Linked DNA regions of Drosophila melanogaster. The gene in region 3 interacts genetically with the main gene of each other region. Each region holds a gene or a part of one and is shown on either strand. Other genes may lie near its edges.

Region 1 (10,307 bases), on a different chromosome or scaffold from region 3:
TTTCAATGGGTGCTGGTTTTCGGTATCGTCTTCAAAGCGCGATCGCTTCAAATTCGTTTGCTCTTTGGGAAGGAAAGTCGATGAATGTGGAGATGGATCCTGCAGCTGCACGGTAATTATGTTGTAGGTCTCTACTGTGACCACTTCATCGGAGACCACCAGGTTTGTGTTCTCAGTGAAGGACTCCTCGAATCCGGAATCGGGACTGGCTAAACTCTGGTTGGTCTGAACAGAGGGACTACCGTAGTCGGTCTGAATAACATGGTAATAATAATAGTCGGTCAGAACGTTCATGTACGGCTCGACATTCGCCTCAGTATAGGAGGTCAGTCCAACTAGGTACTCCGACCAGCGCCTGACCCCGCTGACCTGGCGAACTGCAGCAATGCAGGCGGCAGCCAAAAGGGATGGCAGATCGTTGGCAAATCTGGAAACTGAATGAGTGTTAAGTGGTATCCAATACCTTCCATGGGAATTCGATACTCACTGTACAATGTATAATCCGCCATGCGAAGGAGCAACTGCGCCAAAATGGACAGCATCTCTTCGAAGCTTATATATCGCTGGTACGGCTGGGTGTGATGGTTCCGCTCGTACTCATCCAACATCTCGATGTAGTTCTTGAAATCGGAGCGAGTGAGAAAACTGCAGGCGAAGAGCTCCACAAAACTGGCGGTGGTGGGACGTATTAGCTCGAAGTTCAGGAAGCACAGGATCTTCCTTTCCACAGCCTTGTACTCGAATGCCGTATAGGCGTTCTTGACCAATCGGTTCATTTCGCTGTAGCGCGGAATAAACGCATCCGTGTTTTCGATCTGCGCAGCTATATGAAGACAAGTGATGGCCACCAGGAGCAATTTGTCCGGACGGATTTTGTAGTAATCAACAAAGCGATCCATATAGTAGACGGCTGGAGTGAAACGAGTTACAATGAGTTGTGCACATGGGTTTTGTGCCTGCAGCGAGGCTCCTCTGTACAGTGCTCACCCAGGTGCAAAGCACAGCGACTAAGCTTGTGGGCGCTGGTCGCCAGTTTGAGCAACTGCAGCATTCTTCGGCGCTCGTTCAGCTGCGGCGAAAGGTAAAACAAAGGCCGACGGCTGAGTTCTTGCTCCCTCATGGTCAAAAATATATCCCGGGCATAGTCGGTGAGCCAGTGCGTCTTAGCCAGGCGCTACAAATTGGTATTTAACGAAATAAAGTCGGGTTCGCAAAAGTTAAGCACATGTCCGTTCACCTCGACATCTGCTTGCGGGCAAGTTTTCTTCAATTTGCGGTCGACGACGAAGATGTTCTGCTCGGCAGCCACTTTCTGCTCCATTGTATCGAAATTGAATGCAATGCCTTAAATCACCGATTTTAAGGCAAGAACTTAACGGCGGAAAAAAGCAAAACAAATGAAGGAGAAAACAAAAGGAGCGCAAACATGGCGCTACAACGGTTCCGGCCAGTGCTACCACACTGCGAAGCCAAACGAGCAGCGTTCCCAGACTGCGCTTGGGAGTGTTACCATTCGCTAAAATTAGCACATATGTACAAATATTTAAAACAAGTTTAATGATTAATTGTGTTACTTTAATTCATCAATAACAAGTGTTTTAATTTAATAATAAACTGTCATATGTGCTTAGTTCAAATCATCTGTAGTATTCAGTGAAGGCACGAATGTTTCCAAGCAAACGGGGACCTCATCTTTCTGATTTATCACCATTTGAGGCAGATCACAGCCAAAATAGGCGTTATTTTTGACACAGAACAGGATTAGCTGGCGCCAGCATTCGTCGACGGCCAGAAGATGGGGATTCCCGAAGATGATCATCATGGCACGTGCTCGGGAAACGGCCACGTTAAGTCGCTTGCTGCAACGCACGAATCCCAAGGAGAAGCGGGCATCCATGCGCAGGATCTCTTCTGATGAACGCACCGTGGATATTAGTATAATGTCTCGTTCCTGGAAATAACAAACGTTAAGTGTGCACGTAATATCGATTTTAGTTCCGACCCCACCTGTCCCTGAAACTCCTCGACGGATCCAATCTTCGGCATGACCACGTCGGTGCCAATGAACATACTCCGAAGCATCTTCACCTGCTTCTGATAGGGCGTGATTATACCGATCTGATCGGCAGTCACATTGGCACGGTACAGGGCGATGGTCATTAGGAACACCTCCCTGACCTCTTGGGGATTGAACCAGGAAGGGGAATCGTTATTTTGCCTGTTTTCGCCAATGATTCCGTAAAAGAACGTGCCGTGCGCTTGAGGGATATCCTTTTCTGACTCAAATACACACCGCAGTTTACTTAGTAGGCGAGATTCCCTTGAATCCTTTTCGGAAAGAACTGGGATCAGTTCGTCATCGTAGAATAGCCTGCTATAAATGCTCATAATCGACGGTAATGCTCGGTAATTGTACAACAATTTGGTTAGCACTAGTGGATTGTAGCCGGAGCTTTCGGGAAATCGCTGAAGATCTTTTCGATACGGCGACCGTTCCAGCAATCTCTCCAGAAAGGATATGGAAAATCCCATTTTCGAGGCAATTCGACTGGTGACAATAGACTGCAGCTGGCGAGGATCACCTGAGAGAACAACTTGAGAGCGTTTCTTCGTTAGCATTACAATGGGTACCATTGTTTCTGGTTCGGTGCATTGACCAGCTTCATCGAACAGCACGTGAGTGAAATGGCCCGCTGGAAACCCCAATTGTAAAAAGTTTCCCAAAGTAGTGCAGGTGGAGATGGTAATGCGATGAGTACCTATAAACTTAGCTTGACAGCGAAGCTTCAATCCCGATTCGGTGACCATCATCTATAGCAAATATCAACAAAGCCAAGATTAATTGGTGTCCAATCCAAATGATAAAATTTTTCTACTCACTTTGTCCTCGCAACTGCCCACAGCACCGACATCACTTGTGGCGCAGTAGCTCATTATTTCCGGAGGAATCAAGTCTTTCTCCACTTGATTGTACGAAACGAGGCGAATGAAATCTCCCTGGAGCAAAGCTTTGCTATCGATGAGCCTCTTTGTCACCAAATCCGCTGAGCTGTTCGACGGCGTTCCCACCAAGATTCGGGCACCAGGCAGATTCCTAACCAACTGGAGTAGTGTCTCAATAAGTGTCATTGTTTTTCCACTGCCCGGAGGCCCAAACAGCACATAAGGAATGTTCTCCGCTTCACCGCGCAGTATATTGAAAACAGCACGTTTTTGGATGGAATTAAGCGACTGATTATACCACTCTAATTTCGAATCGTACAAGTACATGTCGTCATCCTTCATATAAACATCCAGCTGGGGATTCTCGCGCTTGGTTACTTTGCTGGGAAACAAGAAATCCTCGCCCATTACTCCTACAATTTTGGAGATGGCATGGTGTTGCTTGCGAAAACTGTAGCGTGAGAAATAGAACTCTAGTCGATAGTCCTCGCCATTATATTTCTCCTGGAAACTGGAATGGAATTTGAGTAAAATGCGATCGAAGAGCACCTTATGGATAATGCCCTCGTATGACTTGGTGGTCTGGGAATCGGGATCCGACCAGGGATTAATGACTCGCAGTGTATCGCCAATGACCAGCGACGGTCGACGCTCGGCTAGATTCTCGATCTGCAGCGTGAGGAACTCTCCGTCACGCAGAAAGTGTGCTCGGTCTCTGTCGTAGTTGCGAAAGTTGACGAAGCACTCGATCTCCTCGAGGTGTAGGAGCAATCTGAAACGGTGCATATAGGTTTTAATGCTTAGGGGTTCCGTGAGGAATGAATAGTGCTGCTCGATGGCCTTGATCATCTCTTGTCGCCGTTCACTAGTCAAACAAATTTGGCGCAATTCTTTGGGCACCTTAAAAGAACGGTAGTATTAAAAATAAGCATATTTTTTAATGAGAGGACTCCTTACTTCAAAGCAACCCAAACGCAGAGCAACAAATCTGCGCTTGGTAACAATTTGTTGTCCCGGGATTACATCCACCTTGTTGCACCAAACTTGGTTGGCATAGAACCGGGACCTCTCCTGGCTGTTACGACCGGGTGCCATCAAAGCTTCAGCTGCTATCATACGTTTCTCAGCTTCAGCGACTTCCTCCTTGGTTTTGCACACGATCACCGTGAAGACGCGCCTCACCTTGAGTAGATCGAAATTCAGCACGTACTTTTCGATTGCTTCCCCCAGGAACTGCGTATGGATCTCAAAGGTCACCGTTATTTCGGAGCCGCTGGATATTTCCTTTGATTCGAGAGGGCTGACCACGCTCAACTGAGACTCACTGTCATTGCAGACGGTGATGCTCTCCAGGCGCAAAGTGCGGTTTAGATTGTTGGTCAGCTTTAAAGATACGCTCTCCTTTTGCCAGAGCTCTGCGGTGATGAAACGATTTACACCAGTCACCGTCACTGCTTTTCCACTGCCGGATGATCCCATACTGCTCTGCTGAGTCAGCTTGGTAGCCCCAAAATTTTTCTCCAGCGGAGTAATCTTAATGGCGCGTCTCGTAAATTTGGACTGGGGAATTAAAACACACGTATAAAGAAGAAAATCGCAAGATTTTATGTTCCTTCTTTAACTTACATACTGGCACTCGATGAGATCGGCGAGCACAATGTCGCCCAGATGAAGATCCGTGCCTGTAGGCAAGTCTGTCTTTAAAATGTAGGTTTCCGGACCCAGCACAACCATGTGCACGTACACGCGCTCCACAATGCACTTTTCACCTTCCTGAATGCGGGTGGGAAACAACTTTGTCACCTCTAGGATTTCTCCCTGTTTGTCCACGAAACCGTCATCCAGCTGAATGTTGCACTCTAGGCGCACTCGATCTCCATTCGTTGGGATGAAGTTCATCTCGATATTGTCTAGCTCGACGGTCAGCTGTCCGTATTCCGTTTCGACGTCTATGGAAGATGCCAGACGCTGGCTAATCAGACCCAAAACGCTCCTTGTTTCGGTGTTAAAGAATGTCGGCTTTTCGTTCTTCAGGTTGTCTACAGCTTTTTCAATCTAATAGAAGTTAGGATTACAGATATTAAGCATTGGCTTTAACAAATGGCTAATAAATCTAATACCGATGAGCTTACCTCCTTTTGGCTTGTGTCCTCCCAGGAATGCTCAAGGATACTCTTCACCTTGACCACCCGCATGGCTTCCCCCGTTGTAAAAGTCAAATATTCCACTACACATCCGACGTGTAGATCCAAGATGATATCCTCTGCCACCTTCGTTTCGAATAAAACGTCTTTGTCGATGACTCCCCGATCGCCGTCTAGACTGGTGATCACTCCCTTTCTGGCGGTGCAGGAACTTTCTTTACTCACGTCCATTTCCGAAAGTCCATGCGTAAGCTCAGCGATCTTGTTACTTAAAACCCCATTAATTTCGTTTGGATTCGCCTTAAGCTGTTGATCCATCTTCTCCTCCATTAGTTTTTGGTCTAAAAAGCTATTCTCCCGATCCAAACTTTCCAGAATATCCTCCCGGTTACGATCCGGGTTCGTGAAAAACTTGCTAACGTATGTGAACATTTTTGAAAATGTTTCGCCGATAAATGCTCTGCCGTTCCTACTGCGCTGCTTTCTTGTCGAGACTCTCGTACATCCAGTCGGTTTCGCTGAGATAGCTCAATTCCTTGCGCAGATTCTGCAGACGCTTCAAGTGGTTCTCCGTCGTCTCCGCCGCCTTCCCGCCCTCGGTGGTTTCGCTCTGCGATTCCGCCTTGTCAGCTCCGATCTCGGGTTTCTTAGCCTGGAAATGTGGACCATCTGTATTGTAAACATTTGAGAACATACAATGTTACCTTCTATGACACCGAAGGCTTAAATATCCTACAATTTTCATTTAACAACATTTTGTTGTTTTACTTCTACGGACAATTTTTGAAATATTTAGAGAATATTTATTTATAAATTTAAATGTATTTATAAGAGCATATATAAAATAAAAAAATTAACATTTGTATACATTTTCTGTATGTTTTGTAACGGAAAATTAAAAACTTTGTGTTAGGGTTCTTGAATTCAATAGTGATTTGTTTTTTAGTCTAGGCTGTTAAAATAACTGCAAAAAAGCAACAGTTTGAATGGAGAAAAAGCAAACGAAAGTCTCAAGAAAAGCGACAGCAACAGTTACTCCTGCACTGCTTTCGTCTCCTTCTACCACGCCAAAACAAGGATGGCAACAACAACAAACTCATACCTCTGTTTCACTGGATTCAACGGGAATATTGGTGGCCGTACCGCTTGTAGATGCTTCTTCTTTGATGGTTATACTTCCGGATGCTTCGCTGGACATTGTCCAATCACGCGGATTTACCTTGGTTATCAAGCTGTGGACCAAATATGTGAGTTCCTTACCGGCTTTTTGCAAATGCACAGCCGGATTTGCTATTTGTACTCGTACTTACAAATATTCTTAACGCTGTTGAATTAGTAGATGCACTGCACTTTGAGTTTTAAGAGTTCAATGGGAAATAGTCATAGTATTCGAAAAAACTCTCGAGCAAAATTTTGAGCACAAAGCGTCTTGGCGAACTTTTAAGTGTGACCGGACTTAGCGGCGTAGAAAATATCCTTGGCTGTGGTATTTTCTTAAAGTGTGTCAAATTAAAGCGGTGGAATATGAAACGTGAGGAAGTTGCTTATGTATTTATATTTTCCTTATTTAAAAAAAGTTCTCAAAAATAAAATGAAACAAAAATGTAAAGTAAAGAACTCAAGAAAGTATATAAAATATCGGCAGTCCACATTTAAGTTTTTGTTTTTGGAATTTACCTCCTCACAAAAATAATACACACGAAGAACTTGTTCTTATTCTTTTATCTTTTTTTCAAGAGTACCTGTTAGTTATCTGTCACTTACATTTAAGAAATAAGCAATCAAATTCCAAAATATGCCAAATATCTTTCCGCAATCCGGAAAGTTTTTCGAGTATATGTGTAAAAAAGTCCATAGATGGTTTCTTTCTCCATAAATACCCTAGTGATCGATATTATTTAAGAGTATGTTCAATACTTTTCGCAGTTGAAATAATTTACCAATTAGGAAAACCAATAAAACCAACTGCCCTATGTCTGATGAGTAAGAAACTGAGCACCAGAGGCGATAAATGGTTCCCGTAAACAGCGCACGCCAGCGCCGAGGCCGCGATTCTATTGAAAAAGGTGTATATATATTTAATATATCTTTATGTACAACTATAGACTCAAAACAAAAATACCCCGCTCAACTGGATATTACAGGGTATAATCGATAACCTTAGCTCAGCCATTGTGATTTTCAGCAATCCACTCGCACGGTCACACTGCCTGTCCAACCCTCCCGCACCGTACTACTCGACAACGTGCTTGTGTGCAGAATTTCCTCGGCTAAATAAAACCAAAAATTGGCAAAGCGCCGTGTCAGATCTAGCCGTCGATTGCACAATTCCGGAGCAGGACGTCGTCGCTGGAGCCACCGAAGCGGAGTCACCATCAGAAGATCACCAGCACCAGGAGAACCCAGTGGACAGTCCTCCTCTTTTTCTTGGCTGCCGAGGCGTCGCGTGTGCGTATCTTTCAGCGGTGAATAACCCACGGCTTTTTGTTTTCGGCCAGAGGAGGAGCGTGTTGCAGTCGCAAACGGGAAGATGGTTAAAGCTAAAAAGGGCAAGAAAGAGATACTGACCAAGGTCGAAGGCGGTTCCTCGGTGGACGAAATGTGAGTCTTGTGCAAGTTCATGCCCACCTGCCAACTTGGCAAACTTTCTATCGCAAATTATTCAATCTTACAGCTCCGATGTGGACAGCGACCAGTTGAGCCTCAACAACAAGCAGAATCATGCCCTGAAGGGCAATCAAGCTGGCGATGACGATGTTAAAGCCGTGACCAAGGGGGTCAAGAAGCTTAATGTCAAGGGAAAAGGCAAAGCAGGCAAAAATGACGACTCCGATGAGGAGGAGGTGGTGCCCGCCAAGGGCAAAGCTTCTAAGAAGTCGGCTTTTGAGCTGCTAATGGACGACGACGAGCAGGACGAGCCAGCTGCCCAGGAAAGCCAGTCTGAGAAGGAGGAAAAGGTAGTGGTCTCCAAGCCACAGAAGAACGAAAAGAAGGGCAAAAAGGCCAAACGCAAGGGGAAGGACGACGACGATGAAGATCTGGACAAGGTTTTAGCTGAGCTTCAAGCGGAATACGCCGGCGAGGCTGCTCCTGCTGCCACTACTGTTGTTTCCCCCGAAGAATTGGCCGATGAGTTCTCCAAGAAAAAAAAGAACAAGAAGCAGGCCAAGCAGGCTGCAGTGGCAGAAAACGCCGGAGAGGATGAGGCCAGCGATGACGAGGAGGGCGGCAGCACTGTGAAGTCGGCAGCCCAGAAAAAGAAGGAAAAGAAGGAGCGCCAAAAGAGGGAGGCTGCCCTAGCCAAGCAAAAGGCAGCTACTGAACCCAAACCGAAGCCCGTGGAGAAACCTGCGCCAGAACCCGAGCCTGTGGCTACGGAAGAAGTCCAGCCCGCCGCCGAGGAAGAGGAGGAAAAGTCCAGCAAAAACAAGAAGAAGGGCAAGAAAGACAAAAAGGCCGAGCCTGAGGAGGAGAAGAAGGACGCCAAGAAGAAGGGTATGTCTGCCTCCATGGTGGCGGCCATGCAGGAGCAGCTAAGAAAGCGAAAGGAGGAGGAGGAGCGCCTGGAGCGGGAGGAGGCAGAGCGAATTCGCCTGGAGGATGAGCGCGAAGAAGCCCGCCTGGAGGCAGTGCGTCTGGAGGCAGAGAGGAAGGAGAAAAAGAAGCAGCGCGAGGCAGAGCGCAAGGCTCGCTTGAAGGCGGAAGGAAAACTGCTCACCAAGAAGCAGAAGGAGGATAGGGCTAGGGCACAGGCTCTCCTGGAGTCTCTAAAGGCTCAGGGTCTCGAGATTCCCGATCCGAACGACAAGCGACCCACGCGGCCAGGTATGTAAATGGCTTTCTTCCTAAATTTGTATGCCACGACCTCAGTTTTGTATTGCCTTGTAACATTATTAGCTTATTATCTCAACTAACTGATTCATGTCTTTCAGGAACTCGTATCCGTCCGAACAAAAAGAAGGGCCCTAAGGAAGAGGCCGCCGAAGAGGAGGCCAAGGCAGCGGAAGCGGAAGCCCAATCGGCCGCCGCTGCTGCCGCTGCAGCTGCTGCCGAAAAGGCCGAGGAAGAGAGGGTCAAGGAGAGTTGGGATGCCACCGATAGTGAGGCTGAGCCAGAGCCCGAGGAAGAAACGTCGCAGGCCACTAACAATGGCAAGACCGAGGCTGCCGAGGAAGAGAACGAAGATACAGATGACGATGAAGATGACGACGATGATGAAGATGACAGCGATGACTCCGATGGGGATAGTGACGATTCCCGTGAAGTATCGGTGTTGGCCAATGATCCAGAGTCACGACGACTGCGTGCGGAAGCCAGAATCCTAAAACGGCAAGCAGAGGCGGAAAAGAAGCGCTCCACCGACGAACTCAGAGCTGGAGTGGTTTGCGTGCTGGGTCATGTAGATACAGGAAAAACCAAGATCCTGGACAAACTGCGGCGCACACACGTTCAGGATTCCGAAGCGGGTGGCATCACTCAGCAGATTGGAGCCACAAACGTTCCCATCGAAGCAATTAAGGAGCAGACTAAGTACGTAAAGGCGGCCGCTGGATTTGAACATCGCTTGCCTGGTCTATTGATCATCGACACACCCGGCCACGAGTCCTTCAGCAACCTTAGGAACCGAGGATCATCCCTCTGCGACATAGCCATCCTGGTGGTGGACATTATGCACGGCTTGGAGCCACAAACCATCGAGTCCATTCAGCTGCTCAAGAAGAAGAAATGTCCGTTCATTGTGGCCCTGAACAAGATCGATCGTTTGTACGATTGGAAGCAGTTGGCCAGACGGGATGTGAGGGATGTTCTCAAGGAGCAGCAGAGCAACACACAGCTGGAGTTTCAGCAGCGCACAAAGGACGTGATCCTGCAGTTCGCCGAGCAGGGCTTGAATGCTGCTCTATTCTACGAAAACACCGATCCGAAGACATACATTTCCCTGGTGCCCACCAGTGCCATTTCGGGCGAGGGTATGGGCAACCTGCTCTTTATGATCGCCGACTTCTGTCAGAATATGCTGGCCAAGCGCCTGATGTACTCCGAGGAACTGCAGGCCACCGTGTTGGAGGTGAAGGCGCTGCCAGGTCTTGGAACCACCATCGATGCCATTCTGATCAATGGAAAGCTCCGCGAGGGTCAGACCATGGTTGTGGCCGGCACTGATGGTCCCATAGTCACCCAGATCCGATCCCTGCTGATGCCGCAGCCCATGAAGGAGCT
Region 2 (6,665 bases), on a different chromosome or scaffold from region 3:
CATCAGCGAACGCCACATCCTGACCGCCGCCCACTGCATCATCGATCAGCCCGAAGTGTAAGTTCCTCATGCTAAAGGCATGCAATTTCATCGCATCATAATGCAATCCATATTGATCATTTCGTCTAATTGGTTCCACATCTAGTACGGATGACTAATGGTATTCTGCTTTTTAGAATCGCGGTGCGCCTGGGCGAGCATGACCTGGAATCGGAGGAGGACTGCCACTATTTGGGCGGTACGAACCGCGTATGCATTCCGCCCTACGAGGAGTACGGCATAGAGCAGATACGAGTACATCCCAACTACGTGCATGGCAAGATCAGCCATGACGTTGCCATCATCAAGCTGGATCGCGTGGTCAAGGAAAAATCGCATATTAAGCCCGTTTGCCTGCCAATCGACCAGAAGTCACAGGAACTGGACTTCGATCAGAGCTTCTTCGTCGCCGGCTGGGGCGGCACCGAGAAGGAGACTGTGGCCACCAAGCTCCAACAGGCGCTGATCACCAGGAAGAGCCTGAACGAGTGTCGCCAGTACTACAACAAGGGTGAGGTGAGCGACAACCACATCTGCGCCACAGGAACTGGGATCAAGCACACTTGCCAGGGAGATTCCGGCGGACCGGTGTTCTTCAAGCATCGCTTCAAGAACACCTACCGAGTGGTCCAGTACGGTGTGGTCTCCTTCGGCGGACGGCTATGCGGACAGAACCAGCCAGGAGTCTTCGCCAGTGTCATCGACATGCTGCCCTGGATCACGCAGAACCTTCAGTAGTGCCAACCGATACTCTCTTTCCTCAAGACACCAACTTATTTATATTCTTTATATTCTAGTCTTAAGAATTCTTGCCGCAGGATTATCTAGATTTGTAAATTATTTTAATAAATACTATTAGCAGCAATATTTAAAATGCAATTCTTTAACTCGGTGGGGCATTATAGTACCAATGCAAAAATAACAATCATAAATCTTTCGAAGAGTGATCATTCTATAAAAACGTGATTTCTTAGAAATTCTATATCATATAGCTAACAGCTTTGACTTTTGATCGAAAACTGAGTCATCAATAATGGTCATGTGATTGGTATGCTATAATTTGCGGTTAGCCGCTGCAGTTAATGTCCATGTAAGACCTAAGATCTTGTTTGGGAATACGTTTGGATATATTATATGATATATGACAAGTTAATAGTGATTAATACTGACCAACGACCTTTAAAGTCCAATATGACTTATGCTTTTAAGGATTTCCATTTAAATAATCGCCAGACGCGTCTGTTTTATGTGGACTCCAACATTGAACTAAATCCAAGCCAATAAAACTGGGTAGTTATTTTAATGTAGGCCAAAGCGGAAACAATGGATAGATGGATATCATGCGGCCCATTGTTACCAAAAGCTCGCAGCCGAAAAGAAAATTTGGGCAAACAGTTTCCTTTTCTCCGCCGAATAGTTAACAATGCGCAGTAGCCGCTTCCACGCATTTTTGCTAAAGATGTAATCTACTATATGTAATCCATATAGTTCGAATACAAATCTTGTTTCTATTGCAGGATTCTCTACTTGGTGACCTTTTACCACACGCTGCCCTTCTTTGCGAATGTCTCCCTGTCGCTGCTCAATAGCTACCTCTCCTCATCGGTTTCATTTAATCTCGATACTATATAGTAAGTTCAAATAGTTCAAAAGTATCTAAGCTAACTCAAATTTTCTAGCTTGAATTGGAACTCTACTTTTCCGGCCATTACCGTGTGCGAGATTTATAACGCCGAGAGGATTTGGGATTTGAGTGATTCAAATTTCGGCGTGGAGCACGATATGCACGTAGATGATTTCATTTCGGAAATTGTTTTCTATCGAGGCGTCTGCAGTAGCTGCGAGGATTGCTCCAGGATGCGATGTCCGTCCAACTTCACCCACCTTGTGGACGTGGTGCGTTGCGTTGCCCAGCTTGCTCAGAGTACTTGCTCCTATCTATATCCTCGAATCCTTGCAGTTTCGCACCAAGTGCCATCAGTTGCTGGTGAATTGTACGTATCTAAACAAGCTGTTCGACTGCTGCGATCAGTTTCTGCCCCTGCCCACGGAGTATGGGCTGTGCTTCTCCTTCAACTCGCATCAGGCACGCAAAGTTTCCCATCTCCAGTTTACCAACAACCGGATGACGGGACCGGGACATCTAAGCTTTCATGCCGCCGCCGACATTCAGCTGTACGTTCATGCACCAATCGATGTGCCCTACCAGTTCTCCGAGGGCATGATACGGGAAACGGTGCTGCTGGGCCACTACAAGGAGCTGATCTTGAACGTGATCGAGGTGCACAACGACGAGAGTGTTCAGGACCTAAGCATGGAGCAGCGGCGATGTCGCTATGGCCATGAGCATGTGCCGGAGCGACAGGGAATCTACGACTTCTACAGCTACTCCGGCTGCGTGGTGGAGTGGTAATACTTAATAAAGTTAATATAATTAATTCATAGATTTATGTATAATCCTTAGTACTGTGCTACTTCAACTGGACAACTGCAACTGCACCAGTCACTTTATGGCCATTCCCGGCCAGAATTATCTGCCCGTTTGTGACGTTCGGGGCCTGATCTGCCTGACCCGGATCCGCGACAAGATCATGACGGAGCGCAAGTCCTGCGAGTGCATGAGCTCCTGCGAGGAGCCGGAGTACAACATAATATACAACTCGGCTGATGAGTAAGCACATTAGGATGTTTCATTTGCACAATTTAACATTGAGAGTTGAAATAAGTAAATGGGCTACTTAAAAATGTATCTTTTAACTTTAAGGGATGATGAAGCCTCAGATGAAGTGTCCGAAATCCGCGTGGCCTTGGTTGAACTGCCAACACAACGATACGTTCGTCGCGTAACCAAGACTATACTGGACTTCTTGAGTAAGCTACGCTATCCATATATATAATAGTTTCGAATTCAATTCCGCCTTTTCAGTTTCCCTTGGAGGACTGGTTGGCCTGTTCTTCAACACATCCGCCTTGCGAATAGTGGAGACCATTGTTATCTGTCTGCGGTACAGAAAAACGATTGTGAAGTGGGTTAAGCGGTTTTTTCTTGGCACAGTTCAATATTTACAGATCTTGGACCAGTCGACGTAAATCACAATAATATTATAAGCTTTAAATCATAGTTGTCTTTCTATAGGGAGTATGCACTTGTACGAAGTTGGTAGTAGGAGCTCAGCTCCGTGCGATCTTTTGTGCCACATAGGCTGCGCTATCCGGGGAATTGTGCCAGTTGGGCGGCGTTACAAATTGCATTAGGGTTTGCATGTAGTTGGGAAGATACATGAAGCTGGAGAAGAGCACCAGGAGCAGCATCACCAGAAAGAATCCATCTGATTGAGGGCAGATAATCCGGATTAGCAGTTGGCTTTGTCTCCCAATATCGATACTCACTGATCAGCTTCTTTTCCCAGGGCTCCAGCATGTTCACGCACGTCACCAGTTCGTACTGGCGGTAGGCGTGGCTGGCAAAGTGTTTTAAATTTAACATTTTCAATGACTAAAGTCCAATAAAATCGCGTCGCAGGAAATTAAGTTGTAAACAAAAACCATATGACATTTGGTGTAGCCAGACATTATGAAAATTCAATTGCTTGAAGTCGTATTTCTGTAGCAGCCAGCTCTTAAAAGTTAACTAACACAACACTGCAATGTTAAGTCTTAACAGTACTGTAAAATCATATGGCGCGATTGTTTTGATTATTTGCGATCCCATCTTTTGTTTTTTAAGAGTTTTAAAAAGGATTAAGCAGTCAGGAGTTTACAATGAATCATAGATTTGTTCGGTAGGTTCCATCAAATACAACACTTTTAGAATCCCTATAAACTTTGTGTCTTTCAAGGGTTTGGGAGCCATCGCAACCAGAAGCAATTGAAAGAAGACCATCTGTGTCCCATGAAAACTTTCGAATATTTGATAAATCCTGCTGGGACATTTCCCAAAGTGCCTCAAATAAGATCCTGACGGGCAAGAAAGCCCTGGACACTCACTTTGGAGGTGGAATATCCTTGGGTCACCTGGTTGAACTGATCGGCAATTCGGGCACCGGAAAGACGCAAATGTGGTACTTTATTAACTATTATTTCGTTATTAACTATAATTTACAAATGGTATATGATAGCTTGCAACTTTGCCTAAATGTACAAATTCCCAAGGCAGCTGGTGGATTGGAGGGCAGTGCATTATTTATAGACACCAGGCAGGATTTCCATCCTGACAGATTAATGGGTTAGTAGATGGAATAAACTATTTCTGTGGTATAACTAAACAAAGTTTATTTCTAGGCCTAGCTCTGAAACTGGAAAGGCAGTATGCACATAGAGTTCCAGAATTTAAGGCTCACAAAATGCTGCAGAAAATCCACTATGTGAGGTGCCCGAAACTGGATCAATTAATGGCCACTGTGCTCAGTTGCCACAGGCATCTCGTCGATCATCCCGATGTAATATTACATGTATTTATAATATCCCTTTCTTCGCTAATATAAAATGTTCTCATTGTACTTTGTCCTTTGTGGTGTTACCACAAAAATCCATACTTTTGCCAAACCAATTGAAAGACATTTCTGTAACTTTAAAAACGCAACTGTCTCCTTAGATTAAGCTGATTGTAATCGACTCCCTGGCTTTTACTCTGCGAATGCTTGAGGATGGCGCCCATCGTTACGAGATGCTTCTGGAACTGCATGAAAGCATGCGGAGATTGCAACGTCAACACGAATTGACCGTAAGTCCTCACAATCGATCAATTTCCTTTCCTTTTATAATCCCGTCCACCGGCAGTGGGTCTTCACCAATGTGCTCACGCATCGCTACGTCAAGCAAAAGTTCCAAGTGGAGCCCGCCTTGGGGGATCTGCATTCGCACTTGATCAACGAGCGCATCTGGTTTTCGGGCAGCTCTGAGCTTCACCTGGGCAAGTCGTGGCGAACGAGTAGATTAATTAAGGAATCCGAATGAGGCTACATCACTTTTACTTTGTGTCGAGTTTAAGCATTAGTTAAAAATAGGTACATGCGTATTAGGATTAAATATGCAATTATCAGATGATAATTTTTCTATAAAATAAAAATATGTTTAGCAAGAGATTAGAATCGAAGCATTAGCACAGGAAAGAGGAGCAACAGCAGCATTGGCAAACGGCATCCTCAACCACTTGCCATGATGCGGTGTGGCACAGAAAACGGATTCGCAACTAGCGCACACCCAGCCAGGTGCTGAGCACTTGCTAAAAGCTCTACCGGTCACCTCCACTCCACGAGGAGCCCGATGCCTATCGATGGCGCAGCTCCAGATTGACAGGCGAGCAACGCCTGATTTATGCGCGCGGCGCAGGAATGTGGCAAAGTGTAAAAAGTGTTTACACATACGAACGGCGACACCCAAACCAGACTGCCGATCTCTAGCCCGCGGCCTTTGATTATACACGGGAAAAAAGTAAAGTTTCATTGTATAGATGAATATTCAAATGATTCATTTGGTTATATTTCATGTCATTTATAATGTATATGTTTAACTTTTGCTGTGTACAATGCAATGCGCCACTTTTGGAAAAGTAAATCCAAATACTTGCATACATTATTTTTTTCCAGTGCACTCCGTAAGCGAACATGGAGCTCCGGGCAGCAGCTAGTCACGCATATGCAGCGACAACTAATTCAATTTCCACTTGCCAGAAGGAGGCGGCTGTTTAGCCGAGTGTGCACGCCTAATTGGTAATGCGATCGGCTTTATTGAGGCGCTGGAGTCGAAGCAGCACTTGTGGCTATAGCTCTACCCATATGGCTTAGTCGCTGGATCGAAATCGGTGGAAGTGACTGGGACTGGTGCTCACTGCCTGGCGGAGTTCGCTGGTGCAGTCACAGGCTATCGCTGTCGCTCAGCGCAAATCCCATTACGTGCGATCCGTTTCGAGCCATAAACATGTAACAGCTGCAGAGCCGAGCTCCCCTCCCAGTTTCCAACGATCCCACCCGATCCTAGCCGAGTTTCCTGGCTTCCAGCGGCGCAACTTGTCGCTCGAACTTAATTGCCTCGGTTGCGCTTATGACTTTCGTGTGCAATGCATCCTCATCCACATCCACATCGCCGCTCTGTGACTGCAGCATTAGAAAGTAACTTCAGCCGACGGAAAGCTATAGCTATCAACATCGGGCTCGCATCGTCTTCGTCGTCATCGCGGAGTTGCTGGCGCTATTTTCGACACCGCCTGGCCCGCCATAAATTTCCAACTGCCCTGTAATGCACTTGGGCAGACTAGAAATAGTCTGACTGAGTCGGTGGCACCGAAAAAAGTTTCCGATGTGATTGGAAAAAGATTTTGGGATCACAAAAAAAAGATTTGGCATAGATTTCATTTTGGAATCATTAAAAGGCAATGTTAAGCTTGGTTTTTCTATCATTGTATTTGTTATATTCGTTTCTGGCAAATCGTTATGCATAATATATTATTTAATACATTAGTTTAAAACATTTTTCTTTTCGTGTGTGTAATTTACAAAGCTGGCAAGTTGAAAGTCCATTTCCCATTTTCCATTTCGTACGGCTTTCAATTAAAACAAAAAGCAAAAAGCCAACAAACATTCCAAGTTACCGAGCATGGCCTGGCAATTTGGCCACGACCTCGTGCA
Region 3 (7,900 bases):
TGGTGCTCATAAGTGATGTGGCTGGCCATTGTTCCATTTCTGCATTGAGTGTAGTGTGGTCCTGGACCTCCTCGGTGGACTCTTCGCTGTTCCAAAAATTGTAGGTGGTACGCAAGCGCAATTCAGAGTCGAAACTAGGAAGAATGTTGTGCATCAGACGATTGGAAGCATTTATAGAGCCCACAGTGGAGTTCAGCTTGCCAAACACAGGATCCTGCAAGGGAGCCGTATCCAGCCGGCTGTTCAGCGTTTCTCTGTTTTTGGTCACGGTGGATATGGGTTTCTTTTGCCGTTTGGGCTTCGGTGCTGCTTCTTTTGCTGCCTGTTGCGCTGAGTCCTGACCCTCGCCAGTAGCCTGTTCACCTTGGGGGCCATCATCATCCTCGGCAGCATTTATTTGCTTATCCGTAAGAGTTCGTGCACTCAAGCCAGCTGAAATGCGCATGGCGTCCAAGTAGATGGAGTCCACACGCAGGCCGTAAACCTTGGAAGAGGCTTCTAAAGAGGAACCAGCCATCTAGGGTATAACATCATGAAATTATTACATTTACATAAACTGAATGAGGCAAAACCCACCTTGAAGTTGCTCATGCGCTTGTGATGGTGATCCAGCAAATTGGCCAACGAATCGATGAGCATCAGGTTCCAGGCGTTGTCCTTGCTCACCTTGTTGCCATTGTAGAGCTCCAAGCAATTTTTGATGGTCTCATTGTCCTCGATGGACTCCAGAGTGCTCGACCGGTGATGCTGCTGAAGGAGCGTGCGACGTCGGGCTTCCCGCCTTTCCGCCTCGTCGTCGTTAAAGGGGGTTAGCATGCGGGACACCCCCTCCTGGTAACTGCCTACTGCGGACCGCCTGAGCGGAGTTTCTAAGCGGGGCAGAGTCATCCTTTCAAGGAAGTGGATAAATCAGAGATGAAGTCAGAGAACAGCACAAGGAATTTTGGTTGCCGTAGGCTGATGGTTTTGGAGAGTGTTAATAAGCACACTCACTTTTAATAATAGCTGTGATCCCAATTCGACAGTTTTGAATTTTTTGTTTTTTGATGATTTGTTGATTGTATTTTGTCTATTTCTGTTTTTGCGCTGGTATTGGTAATAGTTTACAGTTTCTTTCAAACGACGCCGCAATTTAGGGCTGCATTTCAGTGTTGGTTAAAACTAAAGGTGTGCCAAGCTAGCTAGATAATATGGACAGGAAAATCGCTAAAGAATTAGCTATAAAGTATTGCGGAATATAATTAACTAGTATAAACATGATACATAATTTTATCATATGAGAAAAATGAAATAAACAAACTTAATTTACACCTTAAAGCTTCGAAATCGAATAAAAACACGATAGCTTACAATGGAATTTCTTTAAGTTCAGGGCTGCACAGGTCCTGCCAGTGCTGAATGGATTTCAACAATGGATGGCCGTTAAATTTCAAATACATGTACCATATTAAAGAAACTACGATCTGTAAAGGAATTAATCTGTTTCAATACTTTTAGTTTTTTATATAATTTTCAGTCCGGTAGTTAATTAGTATTTTTTCTTTTGACAATAAAGTCTTAACCTAAGCAATATTTAATTTGTAAAAACCCTTAATTTTTCCTTGGGACTCTTGCCAACACTGGCGCTGATAATCACCCCATCCCTGGAAGGCGGCAACTTTTACACACACTGCCGCAGAAATTGTAGTCCCTCGCGCAGTTCACATCGAACCAATGTCGTGATTTTTGTTAGTTTTCGTTGTTTTCGTCTGATAAACTCTAAATAACTATCAGCCAGCGCTGTGCGAAAAGCTCGATGTAATCGAATTGGGCAGAAGAAACGCTCAGAGATTCAAACCCATAGCTTCTATAGATCTATAGCTTTTCCGAAGATCGGACTCCTCGTGTATGTGTGCATTTCTGCCTGTGGTAGTGCTGGAGTAACTGGACATTTCGAATTTACGCAGTTCCAGGCAAACCTAACGGGTTTTCCAGTTCGACTTGCGGAATAGCAGGAATACGAGATTACGGGGCTACGGAGTTTCGGAGTTTTGGAATCACTATGGCACGCGACACACAAGGAACGCAGGGAACCCAGAGTCAGGCCTCCAATATCTGGACGCAGGTGGAGAGCCAGCCGATGGAGAAGATAGTCTGGGGTCGATTGTACGGCAAGAACATTAAGATCAAATCGCTGGGTACGAGTTCAAAATACCGAATCATTTATACGCATTCGTCCTTTTCTGTTGGTAACCACATTTCCTCCTGTTTTGTGTCCCCATTGCGTGTGCTCCTCATGTATTAATGACGATCCCATGCTGAACTGTTTGCAGATCTCAACAACGACGAGTTCACCGCAGGACGAGGGGAGGCCAACGACTTGATCCTCACGCTCAACGATTTGCCCGAGAAAATCCTGACGCGCATTTCCAAAGTGCATTTTATCATAAAGCGGGCAAACTGCGAACTTACCAATCCAGTTTATATTCAGGTAGGTGGAAGTTCCAAACCCAAAAGCTCTGAAGGAAGCCTTGAAAAAAAAGATAGCAAATTCAGAACCCACAAGAGCAGAATTCAAATTAAGTTTTATTTATGTTTTGTTGAGATTATCAAAAAAGGTAACTTCAATATTGAATATTTCCCACAATTAATTTACAAAAAGAAGTTACTATTCCGTATAATTCCGTATATTATTAAAATGTAGTAACCTTGTTTCCGCCCATTTCGCAGGATCTCTCACGCAACGGGACGTTTGTGAATAACGAGAAAATTGGCACAAACAGGATGCGAATCCTAAAGAATGACGACGTAATTTCCCTGTCCCACCCAACGTACAAAGGTAAGCGATCGACAAGCAGGTATAGCTATCGACAAGGACTCGCAAGTAATTTGATGTTTTGCACCTGCCCTCCCTTGTAGCCTTTGTATTCAAGGATCTCAGCCCGAATGAGTCGATCGGGCTTCCCGAGGAGATTAACAAGACGTATTATGTAAATCGCAAGCTGGGATCTGGAGCGTACGGACTGGTGCGTTTGGTCTATGACACCCGCACCTGCCAGCAGTTTGCGATGAAAATCGTTAAGAAGAATATGCTCTCTGGGGCGCGACCCAGTACCAATTTCAGTGATCCCGACCGGGTGCTGAACGAAGCCAAGATTATGAAGAATCTTTCACATCCGTGCGTGGTTCGCATGCACGACATCGTGGACAAGCCGGATTCTGTGTATATGGTGCTGGAGTTTATGCGCGGCGGCGACCTGCTTAACCGGATCATCAGCAACAAACTACTTAGCGAGGACATCTCGAAGCTTTACTTTTACCAAATGTGCCATGCCGTCAAGTACCTACACGATCGGGGTAAAACAAATTAGTTTTATTTGGGTTCGAATGTGTTGCTGATTAAGCAAGCCGTTCATTTCTGTTATGCAAATAAGTAAGTCTTCGGAATGGTCATTGAAAACGCCCTTAATTGCAAATCATTCCTGCGCCTTTACGAATTTGCTAGTACGACTACTGCGAACACATCAATCGAATTATTCAACTAACTAGTTTCTACCTTTCAGGCATCACCCATCGTGACCTTAAGCCTGACAATGTTTTGCTGGAGACCAATGACGAGGAGACCCTACTGAAGGTCTCCGATTTCGGGCTGAGTAAGTTTGTGCAGAAGGACTCGGTTATGCGCACGCTCTGTGGCACACCTCTCTACGTGGCCCCTGAGGTGCTGATTACCGGCGGCCGAGAAGCCTACACCAAGAAAGTGGACATTTGGAGCTTGGGAGTGGTGCTATTTACTTGGTAAGTCATTATGTTATTCTCCTACGAAGATAACTTAGCAATATACTCATATCTTGCAGCCTGAGTGGCACTCTGCCCTTTTCGGACGAGTACGGCACCCCGGCGGCCCAGCAAATAAAGAAGGGCAGATTCGCGTATGGACACCCTTCTTGGAAGAGTGTCTCGCAGCGCGCCAAGCTGCTGATCAACCAAATGCTCATTGTGGATCCCGAGAGGCGACCCTCAATCGACGACGTTTTGCAGAGCAGCTGGCTGCGCGATGCGCCCATGCTGCAGAAGGCGAAGAGGCTGATGAAGCTCGATGGCATGGAAATCGAGGAGGAGAACTTCCTTGAGCCACCCACCAAGCGATCGCGACGCTAGGTTTCGTTTCTGTGTTTCCATCGTTAATACGTGAGGGTCGAGGCGCGAAAAGGTTTTAATTTTCTGGAAAAATTAAGCGACAACATTTTTCCCAAAACGCCGACACCGCCGCATCCGAGTGTATTGGCGAATTTAAGTATTTTTTGCGGTTGTTAATTTTTACGTGTTGTCTAGTGTAAGTTTCATCGCCCAAGCCCGGTTTATCCTGTTAAACTGCATTTAAACTGGGCTGCTGCTTCACAATTTTTTTAAGATTCCTATCGATTTGAATTCTGCCATTTCATTGGACTATTATTACGATTTATTACTTGTAACTGTTCAGTAACTATAAGTGTTAAATGTAAGAATGACTCTTCAGCAAACCATTCCGCTTTTTGAAATAAAGCAATTGAATTTGTTCGGCAGCAAAATTATTTGATAGCGTGCGTCACCATTTTGCGGCCATGTCCAATGGTGATGAGGGTGCTATCATCGGTCCAAACGGCATCAGTTAGGCGAGAATGGGTGTCCTGGTGCGTGTAGATGAACTCATGGCCCGCCTGCACATTGGCCACTTTCACGGAGGCGGGCAAATTGCTCATCGCAGCCAGATGGGGCCTGAAAATATGTGCGTTAATGCAAATCGTCATTGTTTCGCTTAAACTTGTACCCATTGATTAATAACTGGGCGACATGGCCCTTGTCGAAGTATTCCCTGGTTTCCGCCAGTTTTCGTGGCACTCGAATGTCCAGAGTATGAACTTTGCCGTCATAGTCCCCGAGATAGATGTGATTGTCACCCTGCAGCTCCGAGGCAGCTGCCCAGGCGGCACTGGTGAAGCTCAGCACGTGGCTGGCATCCGCATAGAGGCACGTGGAAGATGGAGCCGCTGCCCGGACATCCCAAAGGCGGGCACAGCCGCCACGATCACAGGTCACAAATTTATCGACTGAAGCTGCGGGTGTGGCCAGGCCAGTCAACTTGTCGGTATGCGAGGAGCGCGATCTGTAGGTGCTCACCATATCGGCGCCCGAGAGATCCCAGACCTGCAAAAGGGTAACATTTGTATATTTTCCATACATCCACATCACCTTTATACATACATTGAGGGTACTGTCCGCTGAGCCCGAAACGGCAGTGCGGGGATCCGCCTTGAAGACGCTCAGTTGGCTGATGGGTGTGGGATGCGCACTGGACTCGCCCACGAGGAAGAGGCAGTATGGCGACTGAGAATCTCGCACCTTGGAGTATGTGGACCAGGCCTGGAGTCGGGTATCCCCAAGGGCCACCAGTAGGAAATCATCCTCAGCGTAGCGCACAATGTTCACCGTGTGCTCCGCCTGCAGCTTGAAGTTCGCCGAGTCCACGCTCATATGGTGCATCTGGTCGCGTCCGTAGCCGAACAACATGCCCCACCATTGGCGTCCTTCGCGTCGGTTTGTGGCCAGGGCCAGGTGGTTGTGATCATTGATAGCGATGCTGTCCCAGCAGTCGTGCAGTCGCGGCGAAAGGTTTTCCAATCGCGCGTTTAGGTCCGCAATGTTGAGGTTCGGGTACTCCAGATTCCCGGCCAGCTCCAGTGCCGGCGGAGGCTGGTGGGTCACCGGAGTGCGGTACAGCTCCGAGCTGCGTTGCGGGAACATCGTCTCTCACTCAAGATTCCGTAAAACAACAGAGAATCGGCCAGCAAGGAAGAGCAACGAGCCCGGCAAGACCAAATACATCGATTTGTGTACCAATCGAAATATCGATATTATTAGACATTAATATTAGAGATAATCGCGCGAGCTGGATACTCTGGAGTTTTTTTTTTTTTTTTTTTTGATTGGTTTATTCAAAATGAGTTCGTTTATTCCGATTAATATCAGTATTATGAACTCGGAAAAATGTATACTGACCTATTTTAATAATTTTTAATTGCACTTCTTCACGAGTTGAGATGAAAGTGTCGATTAATAGAAAGACTTTGAAAATACGTTTTGCAAGTTTTTTTTAGCATTTCTATTTACAGCTTTCATTTTCAAATTGAGCAATCTTGGTGCGCATCATCACTAGGAGGACATCCAAAATTATGATAGTTAGTCATTTATAGATTGGTCAAAGGATTGGTTAAAGGTTCAGAACACGTTCAGAATTCCTTACTCATTTTTGATAAAATTGTGAAGGATAATTTTCAAGAACAACACTTTAAAATGCCATAAAGAATATATTTATTTATATAACAATAAGACTTCCGATACAGGAGTTCCGAAATCGCCAGGCGGTAATTAAAAAAAGAGAATGGCGCACTTTACAACTGCAAAGTTTCTACATTACGTTTACATTTCACATTGCTTAACGGTATAGTTGTGAGCAACGGTATTTTTTAGGGGATTTCCCGCCACTATGGACATTTACCGTTCGCTTGCAAGCGGTCACACAGTTGTTATTTTTGTTTATTATTATCGCGTCGCTCGTTGCGCGCTGGTTTATTTTTTGAAAAGTGCGTTCCTAGCGCGAGTGGTCAGCGTCCCAAACGTCGTAGATTCCATCGCCTGAGCCATCAAGAACTAAATATTTCCTTACATAACTGCGGAATACTTCGACTCTGCAGTAAGCCACGCGACGGAAGGCAATCAACAAAGACACGCAAGTGCTTGCACACTGGGCTATTATGCAAATTGCGCCACTGCAGCTGGTCTAAGATTGCAAGGAAGGGCGACAGAGCAACACACACACACACAAAGTGCCTGGGCAGAACGAGCGGAACCGCCTCCCCAATCAGCTGTGATCTCTGCGGTCGGGCCTCCATCGAGTGGGCGGAGAATGGGCGGGATGGGGGGCGGCGGGCTGCTGGACATCTACGCCATGGCCTGGGAGCACCTAAGACCCGGAAGCTCGCCCGTCGACTGGTGCGAAGGCAACTACTTGATTTCGTCCAACATCGCCGAGTTCGTGAACACGGTGCGTATGTGCGATTTATTTAACGTTGTATGTAATTTGTGCGCTCTGCTTTCGCTGCCCCACTTAGTTGTCCCCGCAGTGGTCGTAGTTGCTCTTCTCACCCCTTCGCAGACAGCTGCTAGTTTTCCCTTTGAATAGGCCTTGACCTTTTTAGAGCGAGACCGACTGGCAACGTAAACAAAAGATGCTGTTTGCCACGCTTTGTTTGCGTTGGTGTGACGATGGGCTGGGGGTGGGGGTCATTTTCGCACCCGGAAAATGCGACACCCGGAAAATTCAGTTTTCTTATCGCCCTGAGCTTCACACCTGTCCGATCGATATAAAACTTGGTATTGCGGACAGGGCAAAGCATAATGAACACTTTGTCCTCGGACTGGAAACTTGTGTCTCTTCAGACTTGGCCGCTACACGGACTTCAAACTAAGTCCTGCAAGGGCTAGCTTCTCTCATTTGGTTGTTATCATCTCTTTCATATATAATATGATTTATATAACTACTTTGAACCCGGCTGTCCGATGTTATTAGATTTGAAATATGTAGATTATACGCTCGCGATTTCATTTAGTTAGTCAGCCGTTTGCATTTGTCATTATAGTAAAACAGCCTAAACAAATAGCTGTGCTGGTGGTAATGAATGGCATCCGCATTAATATAAACGTTCTTACAATCGTAACTCGTAACTCAATATGTGACGGGCTCACTTTCATTAGGCCTTATCAAGGTTAATCGTCTGAAGCTAACCATTGATAGAAACGCTGTTTACGAAAACAACGCACTAAAAGTGGATCAAAACAACATTTTTTCTGATATTCTAATTAACAATATAAGTAAGTGCAA

The links. A genetic interaction does not mean that the proteins touch.
Region 1: of lok (region 3) and armi, changing one suppresses a phenotype caused by changing the other (phenotypic suppression), as found in Drosophila melanogaster (3 studies listed by BioGRID).
Region 2: of lok (region 3) and spn-D, changing one suppresses a phenotype caused by changing the other (phenotypic suppression), as found in Drosophila melanogaster (2 studies listed by BioGRID).

What each region holds. Positions count from the first base shown.
Region 1 is NT_037436.4:3,457,553-3,467,859, reverse strand, and holds armi (armitage), read right to left. Parts: upstream 6,544-10,307; 5' UTR 6,398-6,543; intron 6,320-6,397; 5' UTR 6,286-6,319; coding exon of another isoform or gene 6,190-6,285; intron 5,757-6,189; exon of another isoform or gene 5,740-5,756; coding exon of another isoform or gene 5,557-5,739; 5' UTR 5,520-5,556; coding exon 5,076-5,519; intron 4,999-5,075; coding exon 4,570-4,998; intron 4,504-4,569; coding exon 3,901-4,503; intron 3,844-3,900; coding exon 2,881-3,843; intron 2,812-2,880; coding exon 2,008-2,811; intron 1,952-2,007; coding exon 1,628-1,951; 3' UTR 1,546-1,627; downstream 1-1,545. Other genes in the region: CycJ (cyclin J), read right to left, coding at 1-434, 488-910, 988-1,174, 1,238-1,321; CG46463 (uncharacterized protein), read right to left, coding at 5,557-5,739, 6,190-6,285; eIF5B (eukaryotic translation initiation factor 5B), read left to right, coding at 7,618-7,688, 7,762-8,912, 9,020-10,307. UniProt on the Drosophila melanogaster protein: Probable RNA helicase required for axial polarization of the oocyte during early and mid oogenesis. Plays a central role in RNA interference (RNAi) process, a process that mediates mRNA destruction of translational repression.
Region 2 is NT_033777.3:27,162,003-27,168,667, forward strand, and holds spn-D (spindle D), read left to right. Parts: upstream 1-3,713; 5' UTR 3,714-3,801; coding exon 3,802-3,821; intron 3,822-3,878; coding exon 3,879-4,100; intron 4,101-4,157; coding exon 4,158-4,264; intron 4,265-4,320; coding exon 4,321-4,478; intron 4,479-4,633; coding exon 4,634-4,762; intron 4,763-4,818; coding exon 4,819-4,995; 3' UTR 4,996-5,120; downstream 5,121-6,665. Other genes in the region: CG5909 (uncharacterized protein), read left to right, coding at 1-57, 177-777; ppk31 (pickpocket 31), read left to right, coding at 1,122-1,129, 1,557-1,670, 1,719-1,935, 2,000-2,448, 2,504-2,710, 2,804-2,910, 2,966-3,129; CG34293 (uncharacterized protein), read right to left, coding at 3,211-3,368, 3,430-3,526.
Region 3 is NT_033779.5:20,059,836-20,067,735, forward strand, and holds lok (loki), read left to right. Parts: upstream 1-1,586; 5' UTR 1,587-1,885; exon of another isoform or gene 1,886-1,946; 5' UTR 1,947-2,041; coding exon 2,042-2,228; intron 2,229-2,312; coding exon 2,313-2,470; intron 2,471-2,709; coding exon 2,710-2,818; intron 2,819-2,898; coding exon 2,899-3,336; coding exon of another isoform or gene 3,337-3,350; exon of another isoform or gene 3,351-3,483; intron 3,484-3,542; coding exon 3,543-3,777; intron 3,778-3,836; coding exon 3,837-4,140; 3' UTR 4,141-4,546; downstream 4,547-7,900. Other genes in the region: barr (barren), read right to left, coding at 1-517, 577-888; vls (valois), read right to left, coding at 4,551-4,737, 4,790-5,166, 5,224-5,763; bwa (brain washing), read left to right, coding at 6,926-7,063. UniProt on the Drosophila melanogaster protein: May have a role in germline establishment.